2 linked regions of the Daphnia pulex genome follow. Each later gene encodes a partner of the first gene's protein in a complex. Links are inferred from orthologs where the notes say so. Each region holds a gene or a part of one and is shown on either strand. Other genes may lie near its edges.

Region 1 (8,253 bases):
GTGTATTTATTCTATTTCCATAGTTATGTCGCCTTCTGTTTGACGATTCGTCTTCCCTCGTTTGCTCTTATTTTGATTCCTTTATCCCCCAATCCAGTTTTACCCATGAATTTACAGTAATGTGTTGAAAATACCTGCGTCAGGAAGATTGTTACAAGAATCGTTACAAATTGTCGTCATTTCAAATCAACTTTGGCGGTATAAGATTCGCCACAGTTTGTTAAGCTTCGTTTGTAAACATATACTATATGAATCGCTCATCAATTCAGCATCATTATACGACTGTGACCACAAGGGCATTGGCCGATTTGTCTTGCGTTTGTGGTGGACTCCTTCTGTTGTTATTTCCTTGTACATAATGCCATTTTCCTTATACCCATCTCTTACTACTACATAAGTGACTTAATATTTAACAACGATTGCTCCCCAGGCACTGCTGCACTACACTGCAGAGCAATTCTCTTTACGTTCGATTCTATAGTAATAACTTGCACACCATTTTATAGAATTAGTTTCCTTTATTGATTCCATTACATTTTATTCGTGTCACCTGTGTATTTAATTTACTGATGCTTTGCGTAAGAAATAAAATCATTTGGAAATTTAAAATGTTGCTTTGATTCAGAAATGGGAAATTAGTGTTTTTATATCATACATAGTTCTCGTGTGCATGAATTGAATTCAGTTTTTTGTCAATAGGAGACTTCCCATGTTGTGAATAAAAAAACATAGCTCAGTATTTCATGGATAAGAGTAGTTATTCTTGCGTGACTTAGATTTGTGAAGTAGTCACGCTACAATCGTTTTGTAAAGGAATTAATTGTATGAATTGCGACAGCATTCTACCGTAAAACGTTTTCATGTGAAACCATTTTGAAATCCCTGATTTCTTCTAAGAAAACCCACTCAAAATTACCACCTGTTACGTCCGAGTTTGAATATAGACTCGATACAAACCTCAGATTCTTTCAAGATTTATTGTGTACCATTTAAATACTGACATATTGTCTGTAATTACATCAAGGATTCAAGGCAGTAGCACCTCATTCTGGTTTCTAATCTAACAACGTTCCAATGGTGTCAAGAGGAAGACTTCCCTGCTCCAGTATAAAAACAAGAACAAATTTCACCATAGTAAAGAGAAAAGTAAATCCACGGAGAGTAGAATAAACCGTTTGACACATTGATGTGGAATTGTGGATTGACCTAAAAAAACAAACGCCAAAAGCGCGAATGTGTATTTTAATCCTTTATATAATGTGCGCTTTCCATTTTTGAAATGAAGCAGTGTTCGTGTTCGCCACACTTTGGCTGATAATTTATTTTTGTACGTGACGTATATAGAGACCCTTTCACAGAAATTGTTTTATGCAAGACCACCACTGACTTTTATTTGATGTGGGTTAATTCGTAACTTGTCGGTTTCTTTTCATATAAAGTACGATTGCGGAGTCACACTATGTACAGCAACAAGTGACGCGCAGAGAAAATTGCTTAGCTAGACTAGACCATCCTAGATTCAGCAGAGAATTAAAATAGCTATGATGAAATTAATATCAGTAATTTATTGTGTGAACCGGCGATTAGGCTACGGCTTCGCATCCGAATAAAGTTTTATGTTCAAGTCTAGGCTTTTCGTATGAACTACTATGTATGTTGATTTTGTATATAGTATATGTTTCACTCGTACGTTATTAGGATTATGGCTGCTTGTGCCGAAATTAAAAGGTTAGCGGTAAAATATGGAAAAATATTTTGCCTCCTATTTTGAGTCCGATTAAAATATTATCTAAAGTGGTACGTGATTTTATCGTTTCCGGTTTCTAGTATAGTGTCACGATGATACTAAATATCAAGATTCTGTTTGAACTTGAAGATAATGCCGACAGTTTGTGCCATAGCAACACAGACATAAGAAAACGCGTTATATCTTGATTTGAAATGTTTTTGCGTCACGAAGAAGCTTTAAAAACGTTGAAATATCAAAGTACTGGTTCAGTTCTTGGTTACAGTTCACCTAAAATAGTGAGTTTTACATTCGTTGCGTGTAACAAAGGCATCCAACACAGGCCCACGCTTTCGCATTTCAGCAAGCAATGAAGATATACCTGGTGCTCTTCTTAACGGTATTTACGGTAACTGCTACAGGTGAATTCAGTTTTGCAATGGTCAGGGGAGTTATGGTGCAATATTTTATTAACAAATACGTTTTTTGAAAGCAGCCAGCAGTCTCGCACGGTTTCCCTTGAGTGTTTTCCTTGATACTGAACTAATAAGAACTAAACGTGATGGACGCATCATCGGTGGAGCCGATGCGAAAGAAGGAGAATTCCCCTGGATGGTTCGTTAATTTTCTCTCGCTAAATTTGAAAATGTTGTCGTTATTTCTAGTATTGTGACTCATTGTTGGTACGTAACTCTTTTCTTCTTCATCCTTTAAAGGTTTCGTTGCAGAGAAATGGCTTTTTCGGGCGTTCTCATTTTTGTGCCGGTTCGATAGCAGATGCGAGCAGTATCATCACTGCGGCTCATTGTTTAGAAGAGTATAAGCAATACGTTTTAAATTTCACCAAGAGAAAGTTTGAATGATAATAACCGCAAGATTCACGTACTATATAGGCTTCATCCAATTGGAGTTTGGGCGGTTGCTGGCGAACACAGGTTAGATCTCGTTAGTGGTTATGAACAAGAGCTGAGAGCAGTCCAATTTGTTCTTCACGAAGAATATGACCCAGATTACCTGAGGAATGATATTGGAATAATTCGATTAAATGGAGCCTTCGTATTCAACTCTTACTTGAAACAAGTTAAACTTCCTAGATCCGGCTACTTTACTCATCCAGACACGGCCGTTACGGTCGCAGGTTGGGGAACCACAAAAGTACGCGTTTAATAATAAATTCATTAATTTAAGGCTCATCTCTTTTGAGAACTTTAAGCGCATGAATAATTTAAACTCGAGGATGCTGAAATAAATTCGCTTATGCAGGAAGGAGGGAATTTATCTAATGTGCTACTAAAAACGACAGTTCCTGTGGTATCCGACGAAGACTGCCGCTTAATTTATGGTGCAGGGCTAATTGTTGATTCCATGCTATGCGCTGGATATACATCCGGAGGCTATGATTCGTGTCAGGTATATGCAGAAAATTTAATTCTGATAAGTTAATTTAAGTCTGATATTAAATAATGACACCAAAATTTTACAAAAATATAGGGAGATTCTGGTGGACAGCTCATGTTGGGTGACAAAACTCTTGTTGGTATTGTGTCTTGGGGTAAAGGCTGTGGTCAACCTGATTATCCCGGTAAATTACAACACTTTGCAATAAATTTATTGAATGATCTTGTTGATTTTTCGCTATCTTTTAATAAGGTGTTTACACCGAAGTTTCGGCTTATATCGGATGGATTAATATGAAATTATCAACGGCGGAAGCTTCCACAACAACACAAACATCTCGTAATTGAATAATTAATAAAATGTGGCTAAATTTTAAAATAAAAAAATGGGCACGCAAATCTAACGATAAACATACGTAATTATTTTTGTACAATATTGAAATATCAAATATGAGAGAAACTTTGCTATCTGAATAAAATGTATGTAAATCAAATTTTCAAAAGGCAACAAACTTTCATTTTGCGTTACTAGTGAACACATGGTCCAATCCAATCCAATCCAAGGAAAACATCTGGTGGGGCGTCCATAATCCTACTTTTTTGCGTTATCGAAAAAAGGTAGCGTGGATGAATTTTGAAAAGTTTATTCCCCAATACTCCCAATAAACCCGTTTGTGTAGGCCTAATTAGAGAAAGCGAGAGAAAGAAAACGTACGGTACTTGATCGGACATTGGAGATCAAGATCCACATGAAAACGTATGCAAACATATTGATATCGTTGCATTTTGATCGACTGACAATATTTTGCCTTATTTATTTATGATATGGGAATATCTGCGCGATTGTGAGTTGATTGTGGAAGAAAAAATTGAAACACTTTATCCGTTTACCAATAGATGTCGAAAAATACGTCGTCTGCAGAACGTTATTTTCAAAACACGGCGAGACCTGAACCGCCTGAACTTCAACATGGCAAGGATCGTTCGCATTTTCAAAACCCTGCGAAATAATTGGAAGAAATCAACCGTTGGTTTTCTCCTCGTTTCTTATGGAGTAAACTATGGCGTCACAAAATTCAGGTACTCATAGAAGTGAAATGTATTTTACCAATGATTATGTCTTAAAATATTTCTCCCATTGGTGCAGGACTAAAGAGATGTTGAGACTTTATTGTGAGGAAGCTAAAAGCTATGGGGATGTTCCACTTCCTATAGGACTACCTGCTCGCCAAATAACTGTAGTGTTGAATCCCGCTTCAAATGGAGGGTGCTGCACTTAATATTTTCTCAAATCACTTTGACGTTTTTAAAAGTTAATTTTAAATGTGTATAGGAAAGGCAAATCAGAATTTGAGGATTATTGTGCTCCATTACTTTATCTTTCTGGAATGAAGGTTTGAGTCTCATTATTTATTTTTGTTTGACCTTAATAAGTTCTCATTCTCTATTCCAGGTCAGTGTGGTCAAAACTGAATCTGTTGGAGAAGCCAGGGGATTGATGGAAGTGATGGATAACTGTGATGCAGTAGTTGTTGCTGGTGGAGATGGAGCCATAACAGAAGCTGTAACTGGATTGCTGAGAAGGAATGATAGTGGGTTAGCAGTCCAACGATTTCCTATTGGTATCACAATGAATTATATATTTCCCTAAACATTTTGTTTGAAAATATGTTTCTTCTCCAGGTATCATCCCTGTAGGAAAACTCAATAACATTGCAAAATCTATCTTTAAAGAACATAAAGGTATGCAATATTTTGATGGTTTAAAAATGCAGCTTTTAATTGATTCTACTATTACCCCTTGGTCTCTTTTCAGATGATAGAATCAAACTCATGGCTGAAGCAACTATGGCAATAATAAGAGACTTTCAAAAACAGGTAGATGTTATGAAGGTAGAAATATTGGAAAATTCAGAAAATCCTACTGGAAAACCAGTTTACGCACTTGGTGAACTGAAATGGGGAGCATTTCGAGATGTCGAGGAAAGAATTGGGAAATACTGGTTGTGGGGACCACTGAAGTCATATGCCGCCTATTTCTTTGGAGCTTTCAAAAATCTCACGTGGGAGTGCAATGCACAGTTTCACTATACCGTACCGTGTGAGGGTTGTAATAACTGTATGAGAAACAATTTGCAAGATGCAAATGAGCTGAAATTTGGTTCGCAAGTACAGAATTCTCGATGGTGGCATGCTTTTATACCACGAACTAGATCCGTCAAAGGTAATTGTATTCCTTTTATCAGGTCATTCACGTTATCTTAACATATTATTTACAAATTTCTCTAGATACAAAACAAGTCAAAGATTATTCAAAAGTTGTTAATCCCGAATGTGGGGTATGGCATCAGAAGGATTTCTCATCCGTAGAGTTCCAAGTTCTAACCGAAAACAATGTAAATTTCAGTCCTCCAAATCTACCGAAACATTTGGAAGTCAATCTTGGTAAAACATCTTTTAAATAGCTGAAACCTGTGAGTGATAATTAAAAAAAAAATTCACTCTCTCACTTAGGACCTGAAAATATAAGTGGATTTGAGTTCGTGAAAGAGGGTTGGTTAAGGACCAAAACAGAGACCAGTCAAAATAATCGCGAAAAGATTCTCGTACGCCAATTTGAAATGATCCCTAAAATTGAAGAAAGTTCGATAGCGGAAAAGGAAACAACTGAAGAGGGAAAAAGTGTTGAAGTTGAAGAAAGGTGGTATTCGATAGACAATGACAACTACGAAGTTAAACCAATTCGAGTCACCGTTTTACCAGACGCCATTAAAGTTTTTAGCGCATCTACCAGTAGATAAATTGTATTTATAAGAAAATAAAACAATTTATATAGCTTTCACAATTCATTTTTTAATCTTGATCCCGATAAAGAAGGACCTTTAGATATTTTCTTTCTCACTTTCTTCTTTTCGACATTTTCGGGTAAAGGATCTGGTTTCTTTCGATTTGCCTCTGCGTATGGATTAAAATAATTTGATTCTCGTTCGACCAAATTTAATTCTTGCGCAACCTGCAATATTTTCAAATGTCAAGCATTAAGAAGATGAATAACACTAGAATGGTTTGATTAAAGAAACATTGAAATTTACCAAGTGCAGCATTTTCTTTGTTGCAGTGCTCAAAAAGACAGACTGTTGACAAATACTTAAACTCCATTTGAATATGGTATTCCATTCATTATTTTTAAGAAACGCTTTTGTTGCATCAGGTAAATAGAGCACAAGATCCCCCATAAATGCAGTATTTTCTATCATGCTTGACAGAGCTATTTTAAAATGCCTCATCATCATTAGCTATAATTTCAGAATAATAAAACCAATAAATAATACCATCACGAAGAGATTCATCTTGAGGAAAATCAGATTCTGGAAGATAGCCAGAGCTTTCCAGCTTGATTCTACTATGAGTTAGAACCTACAAAAACTTGAATTAATTACAGCCTTTTTCCGTTTTCTGAAATGTTAGTCTAACAACCTCCATGATTTTGGTTATGACAAGTTCCAGAAGCTTGCGTTGTTTTTCAATTGATTTGACTTCTGCAATCCGTTGAACTGCATCTTTCTGTTCACTTCTTTTAAGTTGGAACAATCTATCAACTAATGGAGACACAATTGAAAAGGCATGAATAACCAAGAAACTCACACTGGTGGGTACAAGGCTATTATAATGAGAGGAAACGTAATACTTACACAGAGCAACCGCGTTAGAATTTATATTTCCCCGAGTTACTGGAACAGTTTTCGTTTGATCTGAGGGACTTATTTTGTCGCCAGCACTTACCAATGATGCACAAAACAACAAAATGTAGCAAAAATTGTTCGAATGCCCCGCCATGTCAGAATTTTCCCAAAATCGCAGGTTGTTGTGAATTGTATGTCGTCTGCATTACTCGATTGATTTCTTTCCTGCAGATGGCGTCCTGTACTCCTGTTGCTTGCAGCAAGTGGTAACTGCGAGAGTGCGAGTGCGATCGAAGTAGTTGAATCACAAGCACGTGTGGTGCTTGCCAGAAATCGTGAATAAAAAAAAACTCGTTTGCTCTGTAAATTTGGAATATCCATTTACAGTTTCATCAGTATCCACCATCACTCGTCCCTAGGTGAGTTCTGATTACCAGATAATTACGTAGAGTTGTGTGTAGAGAGTTAAAACAATAATGGCGGCATGATTGCTTCATCGATCATCCATGAACACATTGATGTAAGTCACGTAACTTCTCTTGTAATTGTTTTTTTGTGACCCCCACGCTTTGACATTGAAACATAGTTATTAGACGGTTGGTTTTTTTAAATGTTACGTGTTATTTGGCAAGATCACAGAGCAAAAAGAAGTGTTACGCGAGTTGTAAAGTGTGAAAGTTCTCATCTTGAATGGTGATTCGAGAACGATTGCTGATGCTGTTGGCGTTCCAAAAATGTCTTAGGAAATATTTTTAGAACTAGTATGTCTTTGGCTCTTTGCAAACGAGCTGTTGGCTTGATTGATCGCGTTGTCTTTATCTGTTGAATCCAAAAGAAGGTAGCAAATGAAATCACAGAAATTCAAGAATCGCGAGAGATTTTCGAAGAAATTAGTCCGGTGTGTGTTAGCCAGCTGTTGTTGTTTGGACTGTAGACAAAGTAGAATGACAGTTTGATTTATGAATACGCATTACATGTAAAGCACGACGGTGGAGAACATTAAATGTGTGCGTTCGTATTCTGCTGGATTTGGGTACGGTGGTCACGACTCGTGTGAGTGTGCCGTACCCTGGCCAGCACGCAAAGGTCGAGCACGTCAAAAGTCTGTTATACTGTCGGCGAAGGACACCCGCCCGTTTCGTGGCCAAGTTCTTGGCAGCCGCTCTTGCGTGAGTCGAGTCCACCTTTCATTATATTATTGGGCCGCGATCAAGAGTAATAGTCTGCAGACTGCAAAGTCAGGTAACTAATGCATATATAACTATATAAAAGCGTTACCGTGTTGCTGCTCGGCCAGATGTGACACTGCTGTGCCCAGACTGCCCGAGTCGTGACGATAAACATCGACTCCATTTAATGTCTTTGATGGATGATCGCCGATCTTCACGGTTCTATACTTTGATTCAATTACGATGATAATGGCGGGATCTCATGAATGAGCTGGCAA
Region 2 (8,085 bases), on another chromosome or scaffold:
TTTTTTTTGCCAAACAATTTCTAACGTTTTGTGTCCGCACATCTATTTTATTTTCCAGCTGTTTAGTTCCGTTTTCTTAAATTCTTGTTAAGACAAGACGCAACGTAGAGAATAAACCAAAAAAATCACATGAAAAAGAAATTTTGTTTTGCCGTTACGTGCGTGGACTTGTGGGTTTTTTGTTATTAAAAAAAAAGCCGAATAATAATAATTATTATTCTTTTGGGTTGTTGTTTCTAAAATAGGCACTTTTCACGCTGGAGGGAGCGGAGCAAAGCCGCCGGATGGTGACTTCGCAGCAGGGCAGCAACGGGACGGAGCCGCAGGAGAAACCGCACACCCTGGAGGAGTACGCAGTCGATCACTTCCGGTGAGATACCATCACACGTTTGCTTGAATTACTTTTTCTTTCCCCCCTGAATAAATTGTATAGAAGATAACAATAATAATCTCCACCAATTTGTGTGCTGCCCCCCTTCTATAGTACATTTTTTCGCCCCTTTTCATTTTCCCTTATCAATTTTTGGAACCCGCATCATCGGTTGTTTCTTTTTTCCAACGTGTTATTTGAAAACAACCGGGAAAAAATCAAATTCGACGATATTATTCTAATACACATTCTATATAATACAGCCCGCCGCAGAAGAAGACTGTGCCCAAGGGATTGACGGCGGCTCGTCGCGGGAGTCACGACGAGCTGTGGCGTCATTCGCGTGATCCCCTCAAACTGCCGCTGCTTCGCAAATTATCGTCCAAGGAGGAATTGAGTCACGAAGCCATTTTCGCATTCCAGGCTTGTTTGAAGTACATGGGTGACATTCCTTACCGTCGGGCCCGCTCGGCCAATGAACTGACCGACCAGATCTTCGAGGGACCCTTGAAACACGTAAGCACCGAAAATTCGTCATCTCTCCATTCAAACATTTCGTGGGGCTGAATAAACGAGTTGGACTCGTTTCACCGACATCATCATAATCGCTGCCAACTGTGCTTTGACTATATACAGGAACAATTACGAGACGAGGTGTACTGCCAAATCATGAAACAACTGACTGACAATCGCAATCGATTGAGCGAAGAACGCGGATGGGAATTGATGTGGTTGGCTACCGGATTGTTCGCCTGCTCGCAAAACCTACTCAAAGTACGTCACTGGTTTGAATTTTGCCTCCACTTTTTTTTACAGTTATATGGGGGGTTTTGGTCCGGGTTCGCGTGCCTCTCGGATATCACCTCATTAGACCGTCAATAAGCATTTTTAAAAAGCCCGCATTTTTCTATAATGGACGTTGGTTTTTTTCTTCGGCACTGCTGCCCATCTGCTGCCGCAGTTTATTTGTTTGCTTGTCTTTTGACCTTGGCACGGACCATCTGTCGCCTCGGTTTTTTGACGTTGCGTCCAACAGGTGTGAGATGTAAACGACAGCGATATGCTTCCAGCGTTCTTCTGAAATGTTGTATTATTATTTATTTCGGGCTCGGCGCGGCCGCCCAGCGCACAGCGTGATATCTACTCCCGACATTCGTTTCACTTGTCACGTCTGTTTTGTTTTTGTTTGTTTGGTTTTTTCCCGAAAAAGGAATTGACGCTATTCTTGCGGACGCGCCGTCATCCGATCGCCACCGACTCGCTTCAGCGGCTGCAAAAGACGCTGCGACACGGACAGAGAAAGTACCCGCCTCATCAGGTGGAAGTGGAAGCCATCCAGCACAAAACGACGCAAATCTTTCACAAAGTTTATTTCCCCGACGACACGGACGAGGTGAATACTCGGAATTTTCTTTTTTCCCCTCTCACTTTGAGTGTCAACAACATCGTTTCAATTTCATTGGGTTGTTTTATATTTTCTGTTCTCTTTTCAATGTTTTTATGCGCAATTCCAGGCCTTTGAAGTCGATTCTTCCACCAGAGCTAAAGACTTTTGCCAAAGCATCTCGCAGCGACTGGCACTCAAGTCGGACGAAGGTTTCAGTCTCTTTGTCAAGATTGCCGACAAGGTCATTTCGGTGCCCGAAGAAGACTTTTTCTTTGATTTCGTCCGCCACTTGACGGACTGGATCAAAAAGGCCAAACCGACCAAAGACGGTAACGTTCACATCGTCTACAATTTTATCGTTATCCCTTTTTCTTTATTATATGTTTATGGCCTGGACAGGTATCACGCCTCAATTCACCTACCAAGTGTTTTTCATGAAGAAACTGTGGACCAACACCGTGCCGGGCAAAGACCGCAACGCCGATACCATCTTCCATTTCCACCAAGAGTTGCCTAAACTGCTGAGAGGCTATCACCGCTGCAACAAGGACGAAGCCATCCGTCTGGCCGCTTTCATTTACCGCGTCCGCTTCGGCGAGAGCAAAGCCGAGCTGGCCAACGTGCCGCAAATGCTACGCGACCTGGTCCCGGCCGATCTGATCAAACTTTTAGGCAACAATGATTGGAAGAAAACTATCACGGCTGCTCACGCTCAAGATTCAGGTTTGACATTTGATTGAATGATTGACTTGATTCCATTTGGTGTTGACGCCACATCGTTTTGAATTGAACATTTTAGGAATGAGTGCCGAAGACGCCAAGATCAACTTTCTAAAGATTATTTACCGCTGGCCAACGTTTGGTTCGGCCTTCTTCGAAGTCAAACAAACGACCGAGCCCAATTTCCCCGAACAGCTTTTGATTGCCATCAACAAAAGCGGAGTCTGTCTGATCCATCCACAGACTAAGGTGAATATCGCACACCCGCCATTATCTTTCTTTTTTGAACTCGGAATTAACATTTGTTCGTGTTCTAGGACATTTTGGTGACTCACCCGTTCACGCGCATCTCCAACTGGTCTTCGGGCAACACTTACTTCCACATGACTATCGGCAACCTGGTGCGAGGATCGAAATTGCTGTGCGAAACCTCGCTCGGCTACAAGATGGACGACTTGCTCACCTCCTACATCTCCTTGATGTTGAATACCATGAACAAGCAAAAGTCCATGCGGCTCTAATAATTTGCTCGCTCTTATTCTTCACCATTTTATCCCATTCAAACGAGAACGTAAATGTTGGCTATCGAGATGAGCTTCGTTCCTTTGGTCAGTTTATAGATTGATTTTCCATCACGAGAATTAGCAACTTTGTGAATAGTTTCTGAATTTTGCGATATTTTGCCACTACCTAGTTTTCCGTGTTTTTTTTTGAATTATTTTTAATTGACACCGGGGTCATCTGCTTTTGACGGGGTCTACTATTGTCAATGCATGCTTCGCTAGCTCTCCTCAAAAGCAAGGAACGATCCCGTTTCCCCTTTGCAGTTTTCATCGCCCTCATAATCGTCTTTTAACAAATTTATGTATATGTTATTTGAAAAATGAAGAATTATAATAAAGCATTTTACACTCGAAATCAATAGATAAACAAGTAAATTAATTTTTAAATTTTTTTAAACAAAATACGGATATGTTGACGTTTCGGCTAATGTGGCAACCCGGTGAGCCATATGTTTTGCAGACGACATGAATTGTCAATTTGTGGAAAGTAATTCGAAATGGATGCACTCAGGAACGTAAGTTTTTAGAAAATGTATTTGAATTGTAATTAATGCCAGAAAGTTAATTGATCTCTTCTTCCTAGTTTAAAGATTTTCTCTTAGTGTTCAACAAAATGTCAGAAACTTGTTTCACGCGATGCGTGAACACATTTCAGACTAGAGAGCTGACTGAAGATGAGGTAGGCTAAGAACATGAGGTTTCTCTTTCATAACATATCAGACCAATAGTTATTTTTTTGTTTTTGCTTTTTTTTAGGATAAATGTGTTGAAATGTGCTCAACGAAGAACATTAGAGTCAACCATAAAATCATGTCTGTGTATATGGAAGTTCAACCTCTAATTGTGCAAAAGCGAGTGGAAGAGATGGAGAAACTTAACCCACCACAAGCAGTCGCAGAAACTATTCCTGAAGTTGCTGAAATTAACACAGTTGCACAGTCAGTCATAATAGCAGAAACTGAGCCTCAACATGTTTCACAAGAGACCTCATCTTTAGAGCCTCAAGTTGTGTAAAATAGTGACACATACCAACAGGACAGAAATGAATCAGTGTTATTGCATTGTGGTGTTACTAGGTTTGCCTGCCAGTGGAAAGAGCTGGTTAGCAGGAAGATTATGTAGTTTTTTAACAGAAAACAATTGCATTGTGAATTGTGCAACTTTTGATACTATTGTGAGTTTAGAAAAACAGGCTGAAATTGCTGTTTCGTCATCTAGTGAAATAACAAAGCATTACCGTCGCGAGATGAAAGACACTGTGGAGTCTTTCTTGAAAGTGCCCAATCCTTCTTCCAAAAAGTGTGTCGTAATTGTTGATGATAACAACTACTATCGAAGTATGCGGTATGAATATCATCAGTTAGCGGCCAAATTCTACACAGGCTACCTTCAAATTTATGTCAAATGCGAAGTGTCTGAAGCGTTACTCCAAAACAACAGTCGTCCGCAAAGCAGCCGTGTTCCTGACATTGTAATCACTCAAATGAACACCAAATTTGAAGATCCCTGTGAAGCGTGGGAAAATTCTTTGACGATTGGACACATTGATTTAAATGATACAGAAATATTGAACAAGATATGGAATTACATCCAGAATGCTGTGGATAGTCCTGTCTCAACATTGAAGACTCTAGAAGAAAAGAAGCTTGCGTCCGAGCAAAGCAAACTACGCAACGATCACAACATCTTTCACAATATCGACAAAGTTCTTAGAAAAAGATTAAACCAATGTATACGCGAACGTAAAGAAGAAAAAGACGCTCGTGTATTGGCAGCACAACTAAACGACACTCGACAATCTATTTTGGAAGGGATCAAAACAGGCGCCATTGCAATCCCGACAGACATTCTGAAGGCGGATGGATCCATCGATTTATCTATCCTTGAGGTTTGGTCCATTTCAGCTTTTATCCAGAGGTGTCCGTTATAACATGGACATGATTTGGTCATACTAGAATACAATTTGTTAAAAATAGCTGAAATAATAATAAACAACACAATAGAGATCACCTCTTCCTTTTTCTCTTGTTCCTGAGCAACAAGTTTTGAAAGAGCCATCTGAAATCTTTGCTTGAGGGCGGCGTTTTCAATTGTAGCTAGCTCGTTTTCTTGAGCTTGTCTCATGTTCTTGATCTCACGGATTTCATCCCTCAGTTTATCAGCCATTTTTTGCAAATCGTCTTAACGACAAATGATATTAATTTTTAAAGCAGAAAAACAAATTTGAAATGTTTACCTTTTTGTGTGTCGATGACCTTTTTTTGTGGAGATAGATTAGAAGAACTGCTGTCATCCCGAAACATATCTCCGCTAAATTGGGTTATCATAGAATTGGACCCCTAAAAAAGAGAATGTAACAACTATCGAAACAAATTTAATTATTTTAAATTTGGTACCCTGTTGCTTCCTGCATAGAACTCCGAACCCGATCCACGGGATTCGTCACTGTTTTCGTAGTCTGATTCCATAATGTTGATCTTGCTTCCATGTTCTTCATCTGAGTCGCTTAGTGCCTCACCAAAAATATCGTGTTCGGCTATAGATAACAGAAGTATGAAGCAATTTGAACGAGTGCTGAAAACCGTTGGTTTTTACAAAACATACCCAAGCCACGGTTTTGTGTGCTAACGAATGTTCCGGATGCAAGAGGGACGGTCATTGCTGCCCCATCTCCCAACCCAGCTTCATTGGCTGCCTTTACCTTAGATTCATCTTCTTCTGTGATCAGTTCCCATCGTACACTTACCGCTTCATTATCAACACGCAGTAGGCGCCTGACTTCTTTTTCGATTTCAGGAGCCTCAACGTACTTCTTTTTAAGGGTTTTTCGAAATCTCCTTTTCCTGACATTCTTCATTGGTGGAGCTATGCCGTGAGGCATAAGGAATTTTTTATCGACCTTATGAGGATCTTTTTTCTTTGGTTTAACAGGAGTTTCTTCTTCACTACTTGACTGTTGTTCTCCTTCTTTACAAATCAATATCTTCAAATTTTAAATATCAGGTAAAATCAATATTCTAAGAATTTGAATTGAATTATTACTCACCTGGCTGACATCAGCGGCTTTGTAAAATGTTTTATTGTCAATGGTTTTTTGAGATTCCATGACACATGGAAGATCTAAAACCTAAGTAAATATTTGTTTTACAATTGAATATCAAATACTCTAATTAAGAATAACACCTTGGCAGACATAGTCCAATTGTCAAACTGAACCTGTCCTTTCCTCATGTCATTATCCATTCTAATATTTAGGCGGTCCTTCAGATTCATCACACCTGTCCTTAGAGTTTGTCGCAAACTTTCGGCACATTCCTACCACAAACACATTAAAGAATTTCAGTTTAAGACAATAATAATGTGAATACAAGTGTCCAAAGAACTCACTGGTAAGGTTGGTGGGAGTCTCAATATAAACTGATTTTCCAACTCATCTCCTCCATTATCATTTGTACTGCTAGGTGGTAGAACTGTAGGTCTATTCATTTTTTAACAATTGAGCCTACCACTAATATTATTATATCACGAGTCACTATAAAAATTAGAATCAAATATTCGTGATTCGTCGTTCACGAGCAGACGCCACAACAATGTCGGACTGTCACTGTAGGCGTAGGCCGTGTAGCAACGTCAGCGTTGTACTGTATTTTAGACGTTGCTATACTTTCATACTTTTGTATTACTAAACTATTGTTCCAGGATTCATTTCTATTTAATAATTGGTAATTTAAAGAGAAAATAAATTTATCTAAGACAAAACGGGGATCAGAATACTTTTCAAATAAGAAATAACTCTTTACTTTTGTTGCTCGCCGCTAGGATCAAGAGCAAGATATCTCGAATCTCGATTCTCGAGTTTGTTTTGTTGTCGAGTCTGCAAAAACTTTTCCAACATGGCAGCCGCTAGAGCAGTAAAAATTTTGCCCCATGTGAAAGAGATTCGGATTCATCTTTGCCAAAAGTCAGACGCCAGCAAAGGGGTTAGGTAAATGAAGAGTGTGTTAAATGAAATGTAAAATGCGAATAATCTTTTATTGTGAAAGACGTGAATTATTCTGTGTAGACGTATAATCATGGTGTAATCGTAGAGAATAGTCTCATTCAGTCATTCCCTTAATTTTATCATTTTAACTCTTCATCTTCATGGTGTTATTACTATTCATTTTAGAGATTTCATTGAAAAGCATTACATCGACTTGAAGAAAACCAATCCCAAAACACCTATCCTCATCAGGGAATGCAGTGGTATCCTGCCAAAAATCTGTGCCCGACATGGTTGGTTTACATATTCTAATTTGGATTCATAGTAAAAATTACCTTAATTGTCTTTTTAATTTATAGAGAAAGGCCTGGAAGTAAGTGCCCCAGTAATGAACCTGTCTGCTGAGAAAGTTCACTCAGTTTTGGAAAGTCTTGTTCTAAAGAAGTAAAATATTGTTCTTTATTTGTAGAAGTATTGTGTAAATAGAAAAGTTAGGATGAAAAATTTACACAGTCCTTGCCATATTTCATAGTTTATTTTCATTATCACCATTTGACACTTAATTCAATCTTATATTGATTTAGCCTGGTCTATAGTTATTCATTTTCATCACCAGCAGGTGGCTTTGTTCCTTTGGAAAATTTGCAATGGAGGTTCATATGTCTTTTTACTTTAGAATTGCTTGTGAATTTTGATTCACAGTTTAGACAACTGAAAGCTTTTTCACCTAGTTTAAATTGTAAATTCATATTATAATAATAGATATTTCAATTTGGCAATGTGCTCTGGTTATAAAAAATTGACAGCCGTACCTGTGTGAGACATTTTATGGGTTTTAAGTCGGTGTGTTGTTCGGAAACATCTACCGCAAGTTTCACACTGGAATGGTTTCGCACCTGTATGTTCTTGTTTGTGTATCTTCAAATTCATTGGGTGAGTATATGCTAAACGCAAAATGAATTAGTAAGTAAATTTAAAAACTAAGATCCACAATGGTTAATTACCTTTATCACAAAGATCACACTTAAATGGTTTCTCCTTTGTGTGAGTCAGTTCGTGCATT

The links.
Region 2: acylglycerol kinase, mitochondrial-like (region 1) and mitochondrial import inner membrane translocase subunit Tim10 B-like share a complex: the UniProt entries of both Homo sapiens proteins name them as parts of the TIM22 complex. The link is inferred for Daphnia pulex from reciprocal best matches to the Homo sapiens genes AGK and TIMM10B.

Annotation. Positions count from the first base shown.
Region 1 is NC_060017.1:2,649,344-2,657,596, reverse strand, and holds acylglycerol kinase, mitochondrial-like, read left to right. Parts: upstream 1-3,857; 5' UTR 3,858-3,872; coding exon 3,873-3,880; intron 3,881-4,020; coding exon 4,021-4,203; intron 4,204-4,270; coding exon 4,271-4,390; intron 4,391-4,456; coding exon 4,457-4,517; intron 4,518-4,576; coding exon 4,577-4,745; intron 4,746-4,806; coding exon 4,807-4,866; intron 4,867-4,939; coding exon 4,940-5,347; intron 5,348-5,412; coding exon 5,413-5,568; intron 5,569-5,637; coding exon 5,638-5,924; 3' UTR 5,925-5,962; downstream 5,963-8,253. Other genes in the region: trypsin-1-like, read left to right, coding at 2,097-2,148, 2,220-2,341, 2,443-2,543, 2,620-2,881, 2,990-3,136, 3,218-3,308, 3,377-3,471; coiled-coil domain-containing protein 134-like, read right to left, coding at 5,963-6,136, 6,216-6,391, 6,456-6,540, 6,601-6,722, 6,816-6,960. UniProt on the Homo sapiens protein: Lipid kinase that can phosphorylate both monoacylglycerol and diacylglycerol to form lysophosphatidic acid (LPA) and phosphatidic acid (PA), respectively. Does not phosphorylate sphingosine. Phosphorylates ceramide.
Region 2 is NC_060022.1:1,977,579-1,985,663, forward strand, and holds mitochondrial import inner membrane translocase subunit Tim10 B-like, read left to right. Parts: upstream 1-3,446; 5' UTR 3,447-3,537; coding exon 3,538-3,555; intron 3,556-3,623; coding exon 3,624-3,719; intron 3,720-3,796; coding exon 3,797-4,054; 3' UTR 4,055-4,082; coding exon of another isoform or gene 4,083-4,991; 3' UTR 4,992-5,049; downstream 5,050-8,085. Other genes in the region: myosin-VIIa-like, read left to right, coding at 246-370, 634-886, 1,007-1,144, 1,581-1,763, 1,885-2,086, 2,157-2,480, 2,557-2,726, 2,795-2,998; L-seryl-tRNA(Sec) kinase-like, read left to right, coding at 4,083-4,970; transcription initiation factor TFIID subunit 7-like, read right to left, coding at 4,965-4,991, 5,051-5,220, 5,277-5,379, 5,437-5,576, 5,645-6,023, 6,087-6,167, 6,224-6,355, 6,428-6,526; NADH dehydrogenase [ubiquinone] 1 alpha subcomplex subunit 2-like, read left to right, coding at 6,934-7,025, 7,209-7,315, 7,382-7,470; putative zinc finger protein 66, read right to left, coding at 7,619-7,749, 7,835-7,966, 8,027-8,085. UniProt on the Homo sapiens protein: Component of the TIM22 complex, a complex that mediates the import and insertion of multi-pass transmembrane proteins into the mitochondrial inner membrane.